4 linked regions of the Saccharomyces cerevisiae S288C genome follow. The protein of the gene in region 4 binds, or shares a complex with, the protein of the main gene of each other region. Links are inferred from orthologs where the notes say so. Each region holds a gene or a part of one and is shown on either strand. Other genes may lie near its edges. A codon is read from its position in the direction of its gene.

Region 1 (4,456 bases), on a different chromosome or scaffold from region 4:
TTTTAGAGGTATGAAACCAGACAATAGAACGGGACTAATATGGAAAAAAACCGATTTGAGGGATTTCCTATTAGGGAAAAATAAGTGTTTGCCTCTTTAAGGAAAAAATACTAGCGCGTTACGCGGCGACTTCAAAGATCGACCATAACGGTCTCGCTCGCATCCTCAACGATTGTGTCATATTATTAATGGAACGAAAGAGAAGGTGGATGGCCAAAGCCTTGGAACAGTGGTAGATTTACACTAAGTTTACTTTCTTAATAGATAATAGGAATATATATGTACATATATAAATAAAAAATAAATAAAATAAATATTATAGAAGAACACCAAGACGCCGGTGTTGGGCATCCAAACAAAATATTGTAAAGTTTCTTTCTTGCAATCTTCTACCTTTATTTTTATTTTTTATTGCTGTTAGGTTGTTAACATTTAAACATCTTTTTTTTTTTTTTTTTTTTTTTTTATATTATTATTCGTGATATTTCGCTTGCAGCAGTATCTCAGTACATGAAGGAGACACTATTGAAGTGAGACGTTGTTTACAAGCAGTGAAAAAATAAATAGGGTGGCCGAAAAAAAAGAAACGAAACCAGAGAAATAAAAAGGAAAAGTAGGTAAATTTTTGTTACCTTTCACTCTCTTTCTGAAAACAATTCAGTATGCTCTACTAATATTCTTTTTTTTCATTTCTTTTATTATGTTTTTTGTTTATTGGTTTTTTTTTTTCCGTAATTTAAATAATAGTGGTTTTCATTTTTTTGTCAACTACTTTCTTGGTTTTGGTGGATTGAAAACGAATTTTCTGGTTTTGATACCGGCCCATTTGAACTTCTTCACCCAGATAGATAGCAAATACAAAGATGATAAGATTATCACCGTTTTCAAACCCAATCTCTTTCTTTCGTCATGTTCAGGTTCGGCACACCAGTTTAAAAAGGTGGTAACGTCCTTTGCCATTTGAGATGTCGTTGCGGGGGTACCATCTTCGTACTCAACCATGTCATCAAACAAGACTCTTGCCATTGCAATGGAACCACCTGGGAAGTAAGGGTTATAATTAGAACCTGGTGGTAAAGCCACACCAGCAGGAGGTTCATCAGGATAACCGGTCAACAAAGAGAAAATGTAGTCACAACCACCGTGTCTAGCTTTCACGATCAAAGATAGATCAGGTGGCAAGGCACCTTGATTGGCAGCTCTTGCAGCCTGTTCGTTTGGGTATGGGCCAGGGATGTAATCGGACAACTTACCTGGTCTCTTTTTAGGGTTACCTTGTTCATCAGGTTCGTCATCGTATTCAAATTCTTCGGCCATATTACGAACCTCTTCGTTGGTATGAGAAACACCAACCAAAGTTCTCCAAGCAACTCTGTCAAGAGAATGGCAGGCGGCACAAACTTCACGGTAAACCTGGTAACCTCTTCTAATGGATGCATGATCAAATGTTTCAAAAGGCCCATTGTGGGACCAAGCATATGCTGGGGCGTGCAATCCGTGTTCAGCTGCGGTCATAGCTTCGGCAGTTAAGGAGTCTGCATAGAGTAAAGTCGATGCGGTGATACCGGCGGCAGCAACACCCGCTGTAACGAGCTTTTGAGTAAGCTTGCCAGATTTACTAGCAGCACCTGTTGCGGTAGAGTAGAAACTTTTCGAGAGGGTCCTTTGAGCCCAACGTTTAGATAGATTTGAAAACATTGTCAAATTAGTTATAACTTCCGCTTCTGAGAAAAAATAGTAGATGATATAGTGTAATGAAAATGCAAATTGTAAAATATTATTTTTCAGAACTAGTTCAAACTAATCAATTGAAGATATCACAAATGTGGGGAAATTCAATGAATGCTTTTTATCAAACTGGGGGAGTACTGGAAAAAATATTTAAGAAAAATAGTGTTACACTAATATAGAATATGGATTCTTTTTCTTTTTCTTTCTTGTCCTTAATATTTGAAGATAAAGTACAAAAATGTATAAAATGTTGCTTAACAAAGAAAGATTGTGAAACCGATGATTAATAAGAAAACGAATGGCCTCTACTAAAAGCTTAGATAGTCTATGGATCCAGTTGGACGTCTAACCTCGTTATTATTCAAATTGTTTATATACTAGAAAGAGCCCCCTTAGTATCTACGCAGGGTAAAGGCGCTCGACCCTCTCCACCAACCAAATCCTCGCATTTTTTGGCCGCCGGAAATACCGGCCGCCCATTACCAAGAAATCCGAGAAAAAAAAAATCTTCAGTCACGTGGCGCTCCGTCTTATTTCCGTCCTTATACAAACATTTGGGATTGGCTCACAGAACATCACAACAGCATCTGTGAAAGTCTTAATAGAACTGAAATGTATGATGCGCTAGCACATCCGCTTTACAAGGAAGTTTTTTTCGTCTACAGCAATGGAACATCTCGCCAACGAAAACTCGGATTCGGATATCAGGTACAGTTTCCTTAGCACTTTGGATCATTTACCATGTGAACTAATAAGATCTCTTCGACTGATGCAAACAATCGACTTATTCAAGAATGAAGAGGATGAGCCTGGTATGGAAAGGGCCTGTAGGGATCTGTTGCTGGTAGCGACTTATATTAATGATCTGGTCGATGATCAGATTCATTTCTTAAAGCAGCATAAGAAGGAACTAGAGATACAGAAGTCAGTGACAAAAAATTTCAACTCTTCGCTAGAGAATATCAAGTCGAAGTTGACGTTAGAAGAACCAGGAGCATATAAGGAGCCAAAACTGCTTTTAAAGATTAACTTGAAAAAGGCTAAATCGAGGGAAAGAAAAGAGAGCATAACTAGCCCCACAATTGGGATTAACCAGGGTGATGTAACAGAGGGTAATAATAATCAAGAGGAGGTTTATTGTTTCTGTAGGAATGTATCTTATGGGCCAATGGTGGCTTGTGATAATCCGGCTTGTCCCTTCGAGTGGTTCCATTATGGTTGCGTAGGCCTGAAACAAGCTCCCAAGGGCAAATGGTATTGTAGCAAAGATTGTAAGGAAATAGCAAACCAGAGGTCCAAGTCAAAACGGCAAAAAAGAAGAAAGTAAGCAATATAATGGACGGGTTTACATGTTTAAATATATGTACATGTATGTAGTCTTATACTTTCAAAACATAATCGCATGCGGGTCATCAAAATAAACCTCCATTTTGGACTTGGGAAAAAGAAAATTTGATTTAAACTGTTGTATGTAGCTAACAATACATAAAACTATTTAAATAAAATAGGAATAAGAATGCTCAATTAAAAAATGATTTATTTTCTAACAAAACTTCTTACAAGTCCTTCTTCAAAGTACCCATGAAAGCATGCTTTTCAGCTGGGGTTTGGAATCTACCCTTACCGAACTTAGAAGCAGTGTCAATCCACTTCAAGCTGACTTCTTCCAAAGCCTTTCTAGAAGTGTTGGTGTACAAAGACTTTCTCAAAGTAACAATTCTCTTTCTGTTACCTGGGATACAACCTTTAACCATGATGAAGTCGTTCTTAATTTCACCGTAGTGGACGAAACCACCCATTGGGGTAATAGTCTTCTTGGTTCTGTCGAAGCTGGTAGCACCGTTAGCTTCATCATCACCCTTACCGACTCTGTAAATCTTGTGGTTAATGGAGGTTCTGGAATGGTAACCTCTTTGACCAGCTCTGGCAACACTCCACATAACGTGGGCTGGATGCCAAGCACCAATACAAGCAACCTTTCTTAGACCTCTGTGAGTCTTTCTTGGCAATTTCTTAGTACCCCATCTGTGGGTAACACCTTCGAAACCGTGACCCTTGGTGACAGCAATAGCGTCAATCATTTCGTTTTGTTCAAAAACGCTGTCGACAGCAACAGTCTTTTCGAAATGTTCACGAGCCCAGTCAACCTTTTCAGAGATGGAACCACCGTTCAATTGGATTTCAGCCAAATGAGCCTTCTTTTGAGCCAATGGAGTCTTTCTGATTTGAGTGTGGACCAAAACTCTGACGACGGAAGCGTACTTCTTGATTCTAGCCAATTCTCTTTCAATACCAGCACCATCTTGAGCGTACTTGGCAGAGTATTTGGTGAAAGCCTTCTTCTTAGACTTGTACCAGTTCTTGTAGAATCTTCTCTTGACTTCGTCAGACAAATGTTCAGCCCAGACGGTGGTCAAAGATCTCAAACCTCTTGGGGTTTCGACGTAACCGACAACACCAACAACGACAACTGGTGGAGTGTCAACAACGGTGACAGCTTCGACAACTTCACGCTTGTGGAACTTAGAACCTGGTCTGTCCAAATCTCTGACAATGGTGGTCATACCAGCCTTGTAACCCAAGAAGGAAGTTAGAGCAACTGGCTTGGATCTGTCATCCTTTGGAAAAGCCTTAACTCTAGCTCTGATGGAGGCAGCTCTCTTTCTTGGCAAGAAACCTAAATGACCGTGACGTGGTGCTTCGTACTTTCTGTGAGACATGATTG
Region 2 (9,026 bases), on a different chromosome or scaffold from region 4:
GTTTTCGTGGAAAGGTATTACTATCTCAGTTCACTTTCTAGTCGTTGAACGTTTTTATATCTTATATTATATTAATATTATTATTATTATTATATATATATATTAATATATAATATAGAGATGATATAAACTTCGCTGCAAGTTGTCATAGTATTATTTATTTATTAATACCTTAGATTTTCTTGACAATTAACCAATTTTAATCATTAAACTCCTTATGGGAGTTCCCACAAAGCGGAAACTTAAGAATATTTAATGCTACTGTACTTTTTATTATTATTTATTATTAATTAATTAATTTATTTATTATAATTTTTCATATATTTAATATAATATATTAAATATAAATTATAAAGGAATATATATAAATAACCCCGAAAGGAGAAATAAATAATATATTTTTATTAATAATTATTATTTATTTTTTTTATATAAAATAAATAAGATTAAATAATAATAATTTTATTAATATTTTTAATATCAATAGATGCTGGTGTTACTAAAGGATTACCAGGAATATAGTTATCAGGATGCTTTTATAATAAATATAAAATGGACTATATCTTCATAAAAATTTATATTACACTATCTTATTTCATAAACTATTATTATTTCTTCAATCATGTTTAATGATCAGAATTTTATTTAATAAGATTGTAAAAATATAATCTACCGATTCATAATAATTTATATTATCTTTAACAATAATTTACAAAGATGTTATATTATTATAAGGAATCTTTAAATATTTTATAAATTAGATAATATAATAATGAATACGGAGAAAATTTAATTATTATTTCATTTTTCATTAAATTTTAATCAAGCTTTATATAAAGCAGTATTATGAGGTGCTTTAAAAGCTAATAAATCATATAAATAATAAAATTTATCAATTAAAAATAAACGTTTACCTTTATTAGATTTAGAAGGACAACTTTTATTATAAAGATAAAAAATATTATGTAATTCTTTATTATTAATAGATCATTTAAAATAACCATTTTTAGCTTTATCAAAATAAATATTACCACCAAATACTTCTCTATAGTATTCAACATCATGTAAATATTTATTTGTAACGCTAATAGTTAATTGAGGTCTAATTTTTAATTTACCGGAATAATAATAATTAATAGTACCATCAGCATCAAAGAACCCTATAAATCAAGCATTATCTTTAGTTAATTTAATAGGTTCTTTAAAATCGATATTTAATAAAATACATACTTTATTAAATTGTACTAATCTTTTACTATTACGAATATTACCATTAACGGCATTAATTAATTTAATTATACCTTCTTTATTTTGTAATCTATATCTAATAGCCTTAACACCTGATCTTAATTTTACAGAACCACCAAATTTATCTTGGATTTGTCTTAACATTTTTTCATCTTTTAATTCTACAAGAATTTCACAAGATGCATATTTATTTTTAGTAATACAAAAATAACCATCTCCGTCAATTAAACCGGCCAATCATTGGTTAAATCTAATATTACTATCTTTATAAATACTATAATGTCTTTTAAGAATAATTTGATTTATTTTTTTTATATTAAAAATATTTAATAAATAATTAAATTTATTTTTTAGTGTGCGTGTAGTCTCTGAAGTATCTACTAATAAATTCTTTTTATTACTCGTTAAGTGAGTATTAGAAGAATTTATATTGGTTACCTGCTGATTATCTTCTTTATAATAATATTTTACTCTATTGGGATTAAATAAATCACTTACAATATTTATTTTATTATATTGCTTTGTTCAATTAAATTTTAATACGAAATTATTTAATTGTTTTGTATTTAAAATATTTTGAATAATAAAATAATATAGAGTTTTATTATAAATTTTTCATTGATATTTAATAAATAAAGATTTCCAGCATACAGCACATAAAATATTAATTACATATGTAATTAATAATAAGGCCATATTTTGACCTAAAGTATTAGGTGAATAGAATACAAATAATGCTAAAATTAACATAAATAAGAAAACAGTTACTAAATCTTTAAAAATAAAGTATGAATGCATTGGAATTCTATCTAAATTACCTGTAATACCTAATGGATTAGATGAACCATGAATATGTAATGCCATTAAATGCATAATAACCATTGCAGCAATGATAAAAGGTACTAAATAATGTAACGCAAAGAATCTCTGGATTAGAGGGTTAGATACTGAGCTTTTAATGTTTAAATAGTTACATATTTGAAAACTATTATCAATATATCACTATATTGTTCGGACTATATCTTAATCCTATTTATGTATATATATAATTATATATAAATATTTATAAATGATTATATATTAATCATAATATTTATTTATAAAAAAAAAAGATAAATATTACTTCTAAAGTTTTTATTTCTTATTTATTAATCATAAATTATAATTAATAAAATTATACTTTTTAATTTATAGTTTCGATATCCTAAAATAGAAATAAAAATACCATAAAATGATAAGATTTTAATTATTAATAAAAATTAATAATGAAGGAGAAAATAAATATAATAAAATAATAAATAGTTCAAAGGAATTATTTATTGATAATAATATATTTAATATATAATTAAACTCCTTCGGGGTTCGGTCCCCCTCCCGTTAGAATAGGGAGGGGTCCCTCACTCCTCCGGGGTCCGCCCCGCGGGGCGGGCCGGACTATATTTATAATAAATAATTATATATAAATTATATTTTGTTTATATAATTATATAATATATAAATATATTATTATTATATTTTTATATAAGATTAATATTTAGGAGGAATTTTAAAATAATTATTATATTTAAGAATAAGACGTAAATCTTTTAAGAATAATAAATATTGTAATTTTTTATAACCTAATAATTTAATAGGGTTATTATTAATAAATATTACAACATTTTTAATACCATTAATACTTTTAAGTGTTATTCTTGAATTATTAAATTTATCTGTATAAATATTTTGAGTAATTTTTAAATATGATTTAATAGCTAATATAACTTCTATACTATTATTTTGAGATACTTCAAAACTAGCAAGTTTTATTTTTTTATTTATAGGTTTATAAATACTAAAACAACTTTCAGCTTCAAAAAAACCAATTAATCATGAAGAAAAATAATTTTTATTTAAAATATCTTCAAGAGTATTAAATGGTTTAATAGGACGTAAATAATAAGATAAATCATTATAATATTTAATATCTTTTAATAAATTATCTTTAAAATATAAATAATCATAATGTTTATTAGTTAATATAGGATATTTATCAAAAATAGGAATAATAATATTCTTTAAATGATTTTTATTTCTTACATTAAATTTACATATTTCTTTAATAGTACCATCTTTTATTTTTAATTTTTTAATTGTTACTTTACCAATACCTAAAATATTTTTAATTTTATATAATAATTGAATATCTCTAATATGTATTTCAATACCTAATTCATATAATAAATATTTACCTTTTTTTGAAATAGTAATTCAACCATCTCCTTCAAATAAACCACCAATATATGCATAAATAGGATTATCTGTGTTTAATTTATGATTTTTATCATAAATAATAGTATTATTTATATAATAACTATAAAGTCTCTGAATAATTAATTTTATATATATATATATATTAATTACTGCTAATTTTCTTCTTATAATAAATATTTTAACTATATTATTTTTATTTCAAATTATATTATTATAAATAATTAATTGAATAATATAGTAATTTATTATTCAAATGAAGATATTTCAGCATAAAACAGATTTATTTAATATTATATTACTATAATATGGATCCTCTATATTAAACCCACCTCATAATCAAGATACAATATCGTTACCTACAAATGGAATTGCTGAGAATAAATTAGTAATAACTAGTGCCAAGAAAATAATATTATTTATAAATTATTATTATTTTTTAATAATAATAATCTCAATATTTATTGATTTATTAATATAAATAATACCCTGTATTTAATAATATCTACCCTTTTTATAATTCCATTTAATCACTATTTTCTCTTATGAATAAATATTTATACCTAATAATACCATAATATAAATATTATATATAAATGTTATATATAAATGTTATATATAAATGTTATGATGGGGTTATTATTATAAAAATATTAATCATAATAATTATAATTCATTATTTATATATTAATTAGGTAAATGGAATAATAACAGTAGTTATATATATAATATATATATATAGATTATTAAACCTTGTGTTATAATAATAATATTATAAATTTTCTTCGAATAAACATTAAATATTATTATTTTTTTTATAATAATACCTATTATTGGTGTATTCTGTTGGGATCATATAATTATATAACCCACTGTCTTGTTACTTAATAATATAATTTTGACATGTTTTCAATAATATCGCATTATAATAATATAATAATTAATATAATACTATATATTTTATTATAAATAATTACCTAATTTATATTTTATACTAGGAATAATATAAGGAGATACAATTTTAGTTAAAATAGGTATAGATTCTTTTCATACATAAATAACAAATTGTGTATTTTCTTTATTGCCTTTAAGAATAGTAGATTTAATATTATATTTATTATGTAATAAATAAAGTAAATATTGAACATCTTTATAACTAAAACAATTAGTTGTGAATTTTAAACCTTTACCTAATTTACATCCATCATCTATAATTCAAATAGCTAAAGCTAAAGGAGTTAAATAATTGTCTAAAGATTTAGGAATAACTTTAATATTACCTTTTCCAGATATATTTTTAATATACCATTCTGAATAAATCATATTAAATGAATCATAAGTTCATGTATTAAATTTTAAATATTGTCTAATTTTACCTTTTTTACCTAATCTAGTTTTAATTAAAGGTAAATTAGTATTACAATAACCTAAATTAGCTAATAAACTATGTAAATAATATAAATAATTAATATTACAATATTCTTGTTGAAATACAATTCTTGTTCCTTTACCACCTTTTCTTTTTTCAGCATGACCATCTCCTAATATTGAACCATAAATAATTGATAAAATGTTTATATTTAATGGACCAATATTATTATTTATATCTTTCTTATTTGTTATATTTAAATTAATTATATATTTATTTTTATTAATATAATCTATACTCTTAATTAATATAAGATATTCTTTAGTTTTTATTATTTGTCTTATTATAATCGTATAAAAAATATAAATTAATAATATTAACATTATTATATAAATTAGTTTTATTATATTAAATATATTTGAGGCGATATTTATATTACCTCAATGTGACAATTGTGATAGGTAGATCTTTACAAATTTTCCCCCACTCAGAACTGTACGTACTACTTTCATAGTATACAGCTCAAACAATTTATATACTATATAAATCATCCTATATTGAAGTTAGCATGCTTTCACATTAATCATTTATTCGTTATTATTATTAATTAATTAATTAATTAATTAATAATAATATTAACCATTATTAATATATTTTTATTAAAATATATAAATAATTTGATCTATATTATACATTACATATAATCTTTAGCTTTTTCAATAGTCTTTTACCCACTTATCTATATTATAATTTCTATTATTATTTATTTAATAATATTATATATAACTACCATATAATATTTATATTAATATTATATGGAAATAATTGGGCTTACCAAGTTTATATTATTATACTTTCAATAATTCACTTAGGATTCTAATTTTATACCGATGAGTATTAACGTATATATATGTATTCTAGACAGAATTGAATATCTTACTTCTCATATAATTATTTTTATTTATTATTATTTATTAATTAATAATAGAAAAAAATATTGTTTATGTTACGATATTTTATAATATTAGATTGACTTACGCTATCCATATGAATCTTACCTTAATAATTAATAATAATTATTATTATTAGAGTTTCATACAAAATTATTACTAATAATGCATGTCTAATTAGGTATATGTTATATATAAACATAATCATTTCATTAAAATAATTTATTTAATGGTATGATATTATAATAATATACTTATACTTGTCTCACTCTGTCCATAAACACAACAATAACCTAAAAAAGCTGTAGCAATAGTTAAAATGAAAATAATAACACCTACATTTCATAATAGTACTCTTGGTGATCTATATGAACCATAATATAAACCTTTAGCCATATGCATAAACATTACCATAAAAAAGAATGATGCACCATTTGCATGTAAATATCTTAAAATATAACCATTATGCACATCTCTTATAATATGTTCAACAGATGAAAAAGCTAATTCAATATTAGATGAATAATGCATAGCCATAAAAATACCTGTTACAATTTGAATAACTAAACATAAACCTAATAATGAACCCATATTTCATCAATAATTAATTGATGATGGTTGTGGTGAATCAATAATATAACTATTCACTAAACTTAAATACACATTTGATTTTCTAAATGCCATATTATTATTATTTATTTATAAAATATTAATAATATTATTTATTACTAATATTTTATATATATTAATTAATAAAAAATATATAAATATATATTATTAATTAATACTTATTATATATATATATATTTATAATTATATATATAATTATATTATAATATTAAAAACTATTTTTTTATTATATATACATATTTTATTATATATAAATTATAATTATTAAAAAAAAAAGATATTTCTCATTTTTTTTTCATTAATATAATCCATTAAAAAAAAAAGTTAATAGATTTTATTAATATTATTATTATTATTTATTAAATATAAACCTCGCGGGCGCCAATCCGGTCAACTACTGGGTTGGTCATTGGTCCCGTGGATAATATTAATTATATTATATCATTATTAATTTTTTTAATAAAAAGTTAATAATATAATATAATATTTAAAAATATTTATTTAATAATAAATAAATAAATAAATAAATAAATAAATAAATAAATAAATAATATTGACGATTATATTAATATTAATGATATCATTATTATTTAATAATAATTAATATTATGAAAGATTTTTATATTAATATTATATAAATATAATATTAATAATTTTTATATTATTTATTAATATTGTTATTATTATTATTATATTAACAATAATTTATTGTTAATATGTTATTTATATTATTATTAATTTATATTCTCCTTTCGGGGTTCCGGCTCCCGTGACCGGGCCCCGGAACTATAAAAAAAAATAAAATAAATTATATTATTATATATTATATTAAAAAAAAAAATTAAATATATAATAATTATAGAATTAATTAATAACAATTATTATTATTATTATTATACATAAATATTATTTATATAATTTATTATAATATTTATTTAAAAATATTATAATGAAAAATATATTATATATTTTATTATAGTATAATAACAATCGGTATTTATTATTATGAATATATTATTTGTATTAAAAAAAAATATATATATATATATAATTGTATTATATAAAATGTATATTATTAATAATTATTAATTAATATAAAGAATATGTTTAATTATATATACTTTTTTTACAAATATTTATTATTATGAATAACCTTAATCGGAATCGAACCGATATTATCAACATGAAGAGGTGATGTCGTAACCATTAGACGATAAGGTCTATATTTATTAATAATATATATATATATAATTATTATTATTATTAATAAATTATAAAAATAAAATTATTATTATTATTATTAAGTTTATTATTACTATTTATTAACCTAATTAAAATTAAATTAAATAAAATAAAATAAAATAAAATAAAATAAAATAAAATAAAATAAAATAAAATAAAATAAAACTTCTTCTTTAAATAAAAAAGGGGTTCGGTTCCCACGGGGTCCCGCACTCCTTCTTAAATAGGGGTTCGGTCCCCCAAAGGGATCTATCACTCCTTCCTAAAAATAATTAAATATTTTTAATATATATATATATATACATATATATATTAATTTTATTAATTCATTTAAAATTTATATTTATTAATATAATTTATATATTTATCTTATTCCTCCTTTCGGGGTTCCGGCTCCCGTGGCCGGGCCCCGGAACTATTAATATATAAATTGAATTATAATTATTTTATATTATTTTTATATATTACTTATATAATATTTCTTATAATTATATTAAGATTATATATATAAATAGGTTATTATATATTATTATATATATATACTTATTAATTAAATATATTTATATTTTATATTAATGAAGTAAATATTTTATTTAATATATATATATATATATAAATTTATTTATTATAAATTATATTCTTTTTATATTTATATTTATTATTAATTAATTAATTAATTAATTAATTAATTAATTAATTAATTAAATTATTATAATTGTTATTATAAATTATAATTATTATTATTATTTTATTTTTAATAAAATTATTATAATATTAAAAAAGGGAGATAAATAATATTTATATAATCTCCTTTTGGGATTCCGGTCTTTGGCCTGGTATCCAAAACTTATATATTATATTAATCCCCAAATAAGATATTAATATATATAAACAATTCCTTCTTTAAATATTAAATATTAAATAAAAAAGGGGGTTCGATCCCACGGACTATTTATTCTTGTTAATTATATTTTTAATATTATATTAATAAGTTATATTTTATTATATATTATATTATTATTTCTCCTTTCGGGGTTCCGGCTCCCGTGGCCGGGCCCCGGAACTATTATAATTATATATATATTATTAATTTTTATTTATACTCCTTCGGGGTTCGGTCCCCCTCCCATTAGTATAGGGAGGGGTCCCTCACTCCTTCGGGGTCCCCGCCGGGGCGGGGACTTATATTTATATATTTATATTTATATTTATATATTATATTTGTATTTATATTATATTTATATATTTATATATTTATATTTGTATTTATATTTATATTTATATTTATATTTATATAATAGGTGGGGGTCCCTATAATTATTGAAAATAATTATTAT
Region 3 (4,901 bases), on a different chromosome or scaffold from region 4:
ATCAAGTACTTGAAGTTTCTCGTTCTATTTCCCCGAGGACCACGCGCGGGATACTTACTATTGAGAAATCCTTCGATATGATTGGTTCTCTCCGTAATAAGATCAACCCTTTTAAAATATTTACATTTACAAGAAGATGTTAGAAATATATTAACGATCTATTTTATATGCCTTCTACACCGTTCCACAACTCTTCAAAAGTTAAAAACTTTGACCGAGTTTTGTGTTCCTTTTTGCCCCGAAGCAATTCCTTCTTGTTGATTCTTTCCCAATCCTTCCATGTGGTGTGCTTGATATTAGAGAGGTCGATAGAATTCTCTAAGGATAGCGCTCCGCTGACCACCAAGTCTTGTATTACTCTGTCTCCAACTTCAAAAGCATCTTGCATTGTCGAGGCAATAACGCCCTGGCTGCCCTTACGGATCCAACCAGATGCATATAAATGTGGGAATATTTCTCCGCTGGAAGTTAAAACACGACCCTGTTTATTAGCTATATGATCTTTGTCAAATCCAATAGACAACTTAGAGAATTCAGGCATGGGAACGCCTGCATATCCCAATGAAGTAATCAGCAAATCCACTTTATATGTCATAATATTATTGACGTCCTTCAAGGGTTGCAAACTGTTATCTTCATTTAATCGATTGTTACATAAACTCAAAGAGTTGATTGCACCAAAATCGTCTCTATTAATTTTCAAGGGAGTCTTCAAATAATCTAACTCCCAGAATTTGTCATATCCGCTGCTTGGAGGAGGAGCCTTTTTATAGTTTTTCTTCGAACGTTCATTAAATGGCTTGAGATACTCACTACACATCTCTACTCGTCTATTGAATGCACGATCGTACTTAGATGGGTCAAACATTTCTTTCTGGAAAAATTTAGGATCAATACGGCCACGTATGCCATACTTTTCTAACTCCCATAGTTCTCTTAATTCTTTGTTGGTGAATTTGGAATGAACGAAATCCCTTCGTGCAATTAGCTTAACGTCCTTTACAGGTGCCCTTCTTAGCAAATTTAGTGCAAGAGATGAGATGTCCGTATTTTCCCATATTTCATCAATTTGATTAGAAATAAGTACACGCGTAATATCAAGAGCAACGTTACCGTTTCCTATAATACCAACTTTCGAAACTTTGCTCCAGTCAAAATCGGTAAATCGCTTATCCTTTGCGAAATCAGGATGACCATTGTACCAATTGACAAATTCTCTACTGCTAAACACCCCTTTTGTTCCGAGTTCGCCAGGGATATTCAGCTTTCTGTCCCCTGTACAACCATAACTTAAAATAACAGCATCTTGATTATCCAGCAATTCCTTCAACAATATTTCTTTTCCAATGGTTATACCACCAACAAAGGAAAATTTATGCTTTTGGTTTGTAGGGGAAGAAAACTCTTCTGCACATGTGGTAAACGTTTCTTCACAATTTTTGACTTCTGGATGATCAGGTGCCACACCATATCTACTTAAACCAAAAGGAACAGGTAACTTTTCCCATATAGTAACATTTAATGGAATCGGTGACTTCTTGAGTAAATGGTACGCTGTATAAAAGCCGGAAGGCCCCGATCCAACAATGGATACAGTCTTACGGTTTATTTGTGAAGAAATGTGCCTTATTTGAACAAAGCTCATTTTCACAAGTAATGAGCTAAAAAAGGAAGAAGAAAGAGTGAGAAACTTTCTAAATGAATGAATGAGGCGTTGTGGCCAAGAACTATAGCAAGCAAAAAACTTTCTGTTACGTTCGAGCTATAGTTTACTGCTCTTCGAATTATATCTCGATTGAGTTACCCTTAAAGAGTGCCGAAAAATCGATGTAAATAGTATAAGTAAAGATTTCCACTCTTCTATATTTGCAACGCAGTAGACGTACCAAGGGACGATTTGAAAAAAAATGAAGTGTGCCCTCAATCTACCATGTCGGATAAGCCGATTGACATACAATATGATAAACAGGCTACTCCAAATCTGAGTGGTGTAATTACTCCGCCAACAAATGAAACTGGTAATGACTCAGTCCGGGAAAAACTTTCAAAACTAGTTGGCGATGCTATGTCAAACAATCCCTATTTTGCCGCCGGCGGTGGTCTTATGATCCTTGGTACAGGTTTAGCTGTAGCTAGATCCGGTATAATAAAAGCCAGCAGGGTCCTATACCGACAAATGATTGTCGACTTAGAGATTCAGTCGAAGGACAAATCATACGCCTGGTTTCTAACATGGATGGCCAAACATCCTCAAAGGGTATCTAGACACTTATCCGTTAGGACAAACTACATACAACATGACAATGGATCAGTTAGTACAAAATTTTCGCTGGTTCCGGGTCCGGGAAATCATTGGATTCGTTATAAGGGTGCTTTTATCCTGATTAAAAGAGAAAGGTCCGCAAAAATGATAGATATCGCAAACGGGTCACCATTTGAGACCGTAACCTTAACTACACTGTACCGTGACAAACATTTGTTCGATGACATTTTGAACGAGGCTAAAGACATAGCCCTGAAGACTACTGAGGGCAAGACTGTTATTTACACTTCTTTCGGCCCTGAATGGAGAAAGTTTGGTCAACCAAAAGCTAAAAGGATGCTGCCCTCCGTCATTTTGGACAGTGGCATCAAAGAGGGTATTCTCGATGACGTTTATGATTTTATGAAGAACGGCAAATGGTACTCTGACAGGGGTATCCCATATCGCAGGGGATATTTACTCTATGGCCCTCCCGGATCTGGTAAGACTAGCTTTATCCAGGCTTTAGCGGGCGAATTAGACTACAACATTTGTATTTTAAACCTCTCCGAAAATAATTTAACAGATGACAGATTAAACCACTTAATGAATAACATGCCAGAAAGGAGCATACTATTACTGGAAGATATTGACGCGGCGTTCAACAAAAGAAGTCAAACTGGTGAACAAGGTTTTCATTCTAGCGTAACATTTAGCGGTTTACTGAATGCCCTGGATGGCGTCACATCTTCTGAAGAAACTATTACATTCATGACTACCAATCATCCTGAAAAGCTAGACGCGGCTATAATGAGACCAGGTCGTATTGACTACAAAGTCTTCGTTGGTAACGCAACTCCATACCAGGTAGAAAAAATGTTTATGAAATTTTACCCAGGTGAGACTGATATATGCAAAAAGTTTGTAAATAGTGTTAAAGAATTGGATATCACCGTAAGTACCGCCCAGTTGCAAGGACTTTTCGTTATGAATAAAGATGCACCACACGATGCGTTGAAAATGGTCTCCAGCTTACGGAACGCTAATCATATTTTCTAGGTGCTAAGTGGCGCCTTACTACATAACTTGTATATAATAAAAATTCAGAAGATGCTTTAACTTTTTCTCGTTAATAAGACCGAGTTATTTGCTATTACGAACAAAAGAGTATATGATAAAGAGGCTTAAAAATACCCCTTCATTGACTATCCAGAAAAGCCTGCGTTGCAGCTTCAATATGATAAGGATATACTTCCCTCAAACCTTCTGCAGTTGCCCTTGTTCTAGCATCCAGCAGAATTTTTCTTAAAATGGCCTGAAATCCACATGCCAATAATAATTTCTTGTTATATTCTTGACTAGACTCTTGATCTTCATTTTGCCGTTGGAGAAGATCTTCTAGCTTATTCTCCTCCGCATCTAAACTAAGCTGCCGTAGCAAATAATTGGCCAATGCTTCCGTATCCATGGAAGAATGTTAGGAACTGTTGCTATTGTTGTACTTTGGTTATACGACAGTAAGTAACGTTGACTTGGTGACCGAAAATAGACACGAAATCGCTACCCGTTTCCCCAGAATATCACTCCTCACGATGTACCTCGGCGGCTAATCTTTTTGGTAGCCTTTTGTGATATATATATAAATAAATAAGTATACATACATATATATATATATATATTTATACAGCTACATTGTTTTCCTCCAAAATTTTCTGTTGGTTATGAATCGCAAAAGAAGTTTTCAGATTGTGTCCTCTGTTACTATTTCGTTAAGAAAGGAAGATATCGTCTACGGCTGGTGTGACGTAAGTATTGCGTTGTGCTCTAAAAATGAATCAAATCTGGTCTACAGGTCCCCCAAATTTTTACTTCAACTCTGAATGGAAAGAAAATAAGAGAAATGACAGGACAATTGAAGACTCTTTAAGAGAACTAGATGGGTTGATCCATTCCTTGGAGAGAACTCATATTGAAGTACAAACAAACCCAAAGCTAAAGAACGATGTCACAGCTTTAAATGATATTAACAAGAAAGAAAATAAAGAAGAGATCACTCATGAAAACTATACACACCAGATTAATAGTATTCCATTGACAAGCTCAAATTTAAATCGGCATTTCTCCTTTTCTAGAGACTACAACCAATCTGATAATAGCAATAATAATTATTACAGGGAATATTTATCCAAACCAAGGTATTTGCAGCAGTCAACTAAAGAACAAACTTTCAATGAAATTAATAAAAGAAAAAGTGCTGCAATTATTCCCCCTTGGTTAAATATTCCAGAAAACTCAAGATTTTTTGTAATAAAGTCCTCGTCTTTGAAGCATGTCAAAAGGTCGTTTTACAACGGAATTTGGTCGTCTACTCATTTCGGCAACAAAAGGCTATCTGAGGCATATAAAAAGCTTAATTCGGGAGCCAAAGTGTTTTTATTTTTTTCAATCAACACATCAGGAAGATTCTGTGGCGTTGCAGAAATGGTATCGGATTTGAAAATGGATTTGGACACCAGTATATGGGAAGATGAACAAAAATATGGCAAAGCCTTTAAAGTAAGATGGGTGATCGTGCGTGATATAAATAACAGATCGTTAAAAAGGTTTTTGATACCATCCAATGAAATGAAACCGATAACACATTCCAGAGATACTCAAG
Region 4 (4,254 bases):
CTCACAATACTCTCTTTAGAATTGAGCCCATGGATAAAAAATTCTTCTTTTTTACGTAGAAAACCAGATTTTGCCTCAAGTATCGAAATCCTGAGCTTGGAGTTCTGTACGGGATAACAAAACATGGTGGAAGAGTTGTGGTTCGACTGCAAGAAATCGACCTGCCTAAATTCTCCGGTAGAACCATCCATACCGGCTTTCAAAACTTTTCCCGTCCTAGAAACAAATAGACCGTAATCATAAGGCTCATCCATTAAAAATATTCCGTTCTTATAAATCAACCCACCTGATTCATATGCAAATTCGTCACCACCATTAAGTGCTAAATCTGTAACCCAAAAATCAGTTACATTCTCTACTAGCGCTTTGGAGGAAGTCACTAACTTGAACAGGGTTTTGTCATATACCAAAATTTTCTTTTCTAAAAATCCTCTTCTTGAGTTAAAACTTCCACCCAAAAGCAGTGAATCAATATCTGTCCCCTTGTTTCCAATAACTTGTGATGCCAGGTAAACTTTGTTTGTATAAGCGGGACCGCTTTTCACCTTTTCTAATTTTGAACCTCGATGATCTTTCGATATAAAATTTACTCCATTTATTCTTGTCACCGCTATATACTTTTCACGTGGGAGCTGCAAAATAACATCGCATAGATCATGTTTAGGAGGCTTGAACACTCTTTCTTTTGTCCATTGTAGTTCTTTCAGGACGTGGTCTCTATGTAACGACCTAGTGTGTATCTTGGCAGTGTATTTGTTAGCATACACGTCAGAAATTGTCAAGAGAATGACTGATCTTTCATATATCACATCATAAGAATCTTTTAGAAATTGGTAGTTTTCTACATTTGGGAGACCTTTATTATTGAAAAAAGCCCCGTTTGTAAGCCCACTTGCTTTTATATTTATTATTTGAGTGTAGTTAGTAGTCAACACTACAATGGTATGGCCGCAAACTACCTTCATATAACAAAATTCATTATCACATATCGGCAAAAGATTGTATTGGCGGTACTCGTTTAAATCAAATTTCCTACTTCCATGCTTTCCAGCAAGATTGTATTCCTTTAAAAACAGGTTTTCACTATAGCAACTCTTAAGTAGGCAAAGAAAATAAACGTGTGATTTACCTGTGCATGTGGCGTCGTCAAGCAAATCCTCCCTGCTAATAAAATCAAAGGAGATAATTTCTTCGCCATCGGTGGCATAAAATCTTTCGACTATTCCTTCTCTGAAGTCAAAGGAGTAAATTGTCGTACATAACGTATGCAAATCACTATCATATGATATGTTTTTATTGCAAGTGTATAAAACACCCTCAAAGGAAGCATTTAACCAGCTGGAAGTTAATAAAGAAATAGTATCCAGTTTCGGAGCCACATTAGAGTCGTAGATAATTTCAAATTTGTTATTTTCGCATTTGAATCCCTTAATGGAACCGTCGTTAAACATTAGCAGGTGACAGAAGGAAGCTGACATGAACATCGGTACAGTTGCGTAGTTAACAACGAACGGTCCATCTAAAGCGAACTCAACCTTCGCTTTCAATTCGTTGGACGTTCCGGTATACAATCCATAGCTAAAACATAAAAAGTAACTTCCTTCGTGATGAAGACAACTTACCAGCTTCTCAGCCTCATCTTTTGATCTATAAGATGTTATGCATAAAGGTAAAAAGGCCGAATTGCTATCCAATTTTTTGCAGTCCGTTTCATCTTGTCTTGCCATTTTACGTGGCAATGGCTAGTGCAATATGCAATGCGCTAACGCTGACATTATAACACAATATATTTTTCTACCCTCCCTTTCGCTGAGTTGCGACCAGAATGTCTGTTTTTCAGTCATGTATTTCTTTCCGCTTTAGGCGTTCAGGCAAGCGCGTTCAGTTGAAAGCAAATAGAACCTATAACGACGAATACGCTTAAAGGAAGTATACAGGAAATAGAAAAAGAAGCGTACTGCATGTACTAAAAACCAAAAAAAACACCACATCGGCTCTCTGGTTGTATCCATACTTTCCCTAAAATTTTGTAACTCAAGAAAATACCTACATAAAACGATAATCAGTGGATTGCACTGATCAAGTCGAAAAACTCCGTACATGCCCGTCTATCCCTGTCTCATCCATATAAACTGAACTAGGTAGAAAAAAATACCTACCCTTTCTTTAACCGCCTGGTATATTAAATACCATTGTCAATTGAGAAGCTAACAGCCATTGTAAGAGTTATGTCCAGTGTCCGACTAAGACAAGGTAACCATACGTTGATAGCTATGAATACCCCAGAGGAAGATTATTCTTTCTCATAAATCCTTTTTATTGGTTTCAAAAATCCACCAATAAGTTCATATAGCTTGGGCGGCTATTCATGCGTAATATAATGTGCATGAAGTACGACCCATCGACTCTTAGAGCAAATGCTTCCTAAATTGAAATAACTAGCCGCCTTTAATTCGAGCCTTCTTGTCATCTTGTGTATTTCATCCTTTCAACTTCTCCTGTTCCACCTTTCACTCTAAGCTTCCCTATCATTTGGCCTCTTTCAGGTTCGTCCATAGCGCATCTTTTTCCTTTTAGACACTCCATAACGGACCAATCAGCGTTTTGCGCCATTTATCGGTCTTGGGTCACGTGCGGCGACGCGGAGGCTCCCTTATAAGGACTGGAAAAAGACCTGCAAGAACTATAGTTGGTTCTTGAATATCAAGTAATATATTACTTCTCTGTCGTAACTTTTTGTTGCTTTCAAGTTCAACGTCTTTTAAAAACCAAGAAATTATTGAACATAAATAATATCACTCTAACACTTATTAGGAAACCGAAAGGAGCAATAACAAACATGTTAGGAATAAGATCATCTGTCAAGACCTGCTTCAAGCCAATGTCTTTAACTTCCAAAAGACTGATTTCTCAATCTTTGCTGGCTAGCAAATCCACGTACAGGACCCCAAATTTTGATGACGTTTTAAAGGAAAATAACGATGCTGATAAAGGCCGTTCTTATGCTTACTTTATGGTCGGTGCTATGGGTCTTTTGTCATCTGCAGGTGCCAAATCAACCGTAGAAACCTTTATTTCATCTATGACCGCTACTGCCGATGTTTTGGCTATGGCTAAAGTTGAAGTTAATTTAGCGGCTATCCCATTGGGTAAAAACGTGGTTGTCAAATGGCAAGGTAAGCCTGTGTTCATTAGACACAGAACTCCTCATGAAATTCAGGAAGCCAACAGTGTGGATATGTCCGCTTTGAAGGACCCACAGACCGATGCTGACAGAGTCAAAGACCCTCAATGGTTAATTATGCTGGGTATTTGTACTCACTTAGGTTGTGTTCCAATTGGTGAAGCCGGTGATTTTGGTGGTTGGTTCTGTCCTTGCCATGGTTCACATTATGATATTTCCGGTAGAATCAGAAAGGGACCTGCCCCCTTAAACTTAGAAATTCCTGCTTATGAATTCGATGGTGATAAGGTCATTGTTGGTTAGGTTTGTTTTTCGTCCTCGAAAACTACATCTTTATTGTCTATTTGTTTCACCCTTATTTTGATTTTTCATTTACTATCCATTATGTTATGAACGGGAACTATACAACTAACCTAAGAATTTTGAAATCACAACAAAAATAATCAACATCACAGTCTCGAAGGGATTACGCTCAAAAAGGAACGAAAATCACTATACTGTATTCCCTGTTGATTTTCCTAAGAATATATTCTTATACAATATGGAGAAAACAAAAGGATAAGAAAAGAAAGGGGAAATAAAGAAGATTTGGACCTATTTATTACTACTTTTTTGTCTCACCATCTTCTTTTTCTATTCATAATATTTGATATTCCTTTATTTATCTGCATGTATTTATAATTAACGAAACTATTTATCTTCCCTCGTCCTGCCTTATCCTTCTTTTCTCCAAATGTTTTACCTAAGATTGGCCTGTATTTGAATATTGATGTCCAGAAGCAGAAGATTTCACATGTTGTATAAAGTATACAAGATTGTAAAAATGATTGAAGTATTTTTATATATGTATATTACCTATAAAATTTTTTATATTACGTACCGAAGGGGTTTTTTTAATGCTAAAGCGATTCATCTTGCTGTAGGTATATTTTTAAATCATCTGGAATATCTGTCCAGGAATTACTATCCCAGTCCATGAATTTCTTTTTTAATTGGGAGTATTTACTGTCAAATAATCTTGAATTGTATGTCGTTGCAAAATAACTTGCTTTTTGACCCATGTGGAGTTC

Evidence for each region.
Region 1: the proteins of RIP1 (region 4) and CYT1 are in contact, whole or in part, in a cryo-EM structure (PDB 8ABB), measured with the Yarrowia lipolytica proteins. The link is inferred for Saccharomyces cerevisiae S288C from one-to-one orthologs. Residues at the interface, in XP_499709.1 of Yarrowia lipolytica: Gly39, Lys40, Ser41, Thr42, Lys44, Pro46, Asp47, Phe48, Tyr51, Phe64, Ser65, Met68, Ile69, Ser71, Phe72, Leu75, Ser76, Ala95, Asp96, Ala99, Met100, Glu104, Lys119; in XP_500165.3 of Yarrowia lipolytica: Arg163, Lys176, Asp186, Glu187, Pro188, Arg195, Lys200, Ala202, Val326, Ala329, Met330, Leu333, Ser334, Tyr336, Ile337, Phe340, Asn347, Lys349, Ile351, Tyr352, Asn353.
Region 2: the proteins of RIP1 (region 4) and COB are in contact, whole or in part, in a cryo-EM structure (PDB 8EC0), measured with the Saccharomyces cerevisiae proteins. Residues at the interface, in NP_010890.3 of Saccharomyces cerevisiae: Ile79 (codon at 3,074), Met82 (codon at 3,083), Thr83 (codon at 3,086), Ala84 (codon at 3,089), Thr85 (codon at 3,092), Val88 (codon at 3,101), Val108 (codon at 3,161), Val109 (codon at 3,164), Lys110 (codon at 3,167), Gln112 (codon at 3,173), Gly113 (codon at 3,176), Lys114 (codon at 3,179), Pro115 (codon at 3,182), Ile158 (codon at 3,311), Thr160 (codon at 3,317), His161 (codon at 3,320), Leu162 (codon at 3,323), Gly163 (codon at 3,326), Cys164 (codon at 3,329), Val165 (codon at 3,332), Ile167 (codon at 3,338), Phe177 (codon at 3,368), Pro179 (codon at 3,374), Cys180 (codon at 3,377), His181 (codon at 3,380), Gly182 (codon at 3,383), Ser183 (codon at 3,386), His184 (codon at 3,389), Gly194 (codon at 3,419), Pro195 (codon at 3,422); in NP_009315.1 of Saccharomyces cerevisiae: Trp142, Thr145, Val146 (codon at 3,894), Asn149 (codon at 3,885), Leu150 (codon at 3,882), Trp164, Trp166, Gly167 (codon at 3,831), Gly168 (codon at 3,828), Phe169 (codon at 3,825), Ser170 (codon at 2,199), Val171 (codon at 2,196), Ser172 (codon at 2,193), Pro174 (codon at 2,187), Arg178 (codon at 2,175), Pro262 (codon at 506), Leu263 (codon at 503), Thr265, Pro266, Ala267, Ile269, Tyr279, Leu282, Arg283, Ile285, Pro286, Asp287, Lys288, Cys342, His343.
Region 3: the proteins of RIP1 (region 4) and BCS1 are in contact, whole or in part, in a cryo-EM structure (PDB 9GS2), measured with the Saccharomyces cerevisiae proteins. Residues at the interface, in NP_010890.3 of Saccharomyces cerevisiae: Asp133 (codon at 3,236), Met134 (codon at 3,239), Ser135 (codon at 3,242), Asp139 (codon at 3,254), Pro140 (codon at 3,257), Gln141 (codon at 3,260), Thr142 (codon at 3,263), Ala144 (codon at 3,269), Asp145 (codon at 3,272), Arg146 (codon at 3,275), Val147 (codon at 3,278), Lys148 (codon at 3,281), Tyr205 (codon at 3,452); in NP_010663.1 of Saccharomyces cerevisiae: Phe209 (codon at 2,555), Gly210 (codon at 2,558), Arg214 (codon at 2,570), Asn297 (codon at 2,819), Thr299 (codon at 2,825), Arg302 (codon at 2,834), His337 (codon at 2,939).

The regions. Positions count from the first base shown.
Region 1 is NC_001147.6:444,681-449,136, reverse strand, and holds CYT1 (ubiquinol--cytochrome-c reductase catalytic subunit CYT1), read right to left. Parts: upstream 1,699-4,456; coding exon 769-1,698; downstream 1-768. Other genes in the region: YNG1 (Yng1p), read left to right, coding at 2,399-3,058; 60S ribosomal protein uL3 RPL3, read right to left, coding at 3,288-4,451. UniProt on the Saccharomyces cerevisiae protein: Component of the ubiquinol-cytochrome c oxidoreductase, a multisubunit transmembrane complex that is part of the mitochondrial electron transport chain which drives oxidative phosphorylation.
Region 2 is NC_001224.1:34,015-43,040, reverse strand, and holds the start of COB (cytochrome b), read right to left. Parts: upstream 6,502-9,026; coding exon 6,087-6,501; intron 5,319-6,086; coding exon 5,305-5,318; coding exon of another isoform or gene 4,462-5,304; intron 3,901-4,461; coding exon 3,824-3,900; coding exon of another isoform or gene 2,776-3,823; intron 2,201-2,775; coding exon 1,951-2,200; coding exon of another isoform or gene 790-1,950; intron 534-789; coding exon 483-533; intron 1-482. Other genes in the region: cytochrome b mRNA maturase bI2, read right to left, coding at 4,462-5,318, 6,087-6,501; cytochrome b mRNA maturase bI3, read right to left, coding at 2,776-3,900, 5,305-5,318, 6,087-6,501; intron-encoded RNA maturase bI4, read right to left, coding at 790-2,200, 3,824-3,900, 5,305-5,318, 6,087-6,501. UniProt on the Saccharomyces cerevisiae protein: Component of the ubiquinol-cytochrome c oxidoreductase, a multisubunit transmembrane complex that is part of the mitochondrial electron transport chain which drives oxidative phosphorylation.
Region 3 is NC_001136.10:1,223,566-1,228,466, reverse strand, and holds BCS1 (bifunctional AAA family ATPase chaperone/translocase BCS1), read left to right. Parts: upstream 1-1,930; coding exon 1,931-3,301; downstream 3,302-4,901. Other genes in the region: ARH1 (NADPH-adrenodoxin reductase), read right to left, coding at 164-1,645; WIP1 (Wip1p), read right to left, coding at 3,441-3,710; PHO92 (mRNA-binding phosphate metabolism regulator), read left to right, coding at 4,073-4,901.
Region 4 is NC_001137.3:104,421-108,674, forward strand, and holds RIP1 (ubiquinol--cytochrome-c reductase catalytic subunit RIP1), read left to right. Parts: upstream 1-2,839; coding exon 2,840-3,487; downstream 3,488-4,254. Other genes in the region: YEL025C (uncharacterized protein), read right to left, coding at 1-1,727; YEL023C (uncharacterized protein), read right to left, coding at 4,084-4,254. UniProt on the Saccharomyces cerevisiae protein: Component of the ubiquinol-cytochrome c oxidoreductase, a multisubunit transmembrane complex that is part of the mitochondrial electron transport chain which drives oxidative phosphorylation.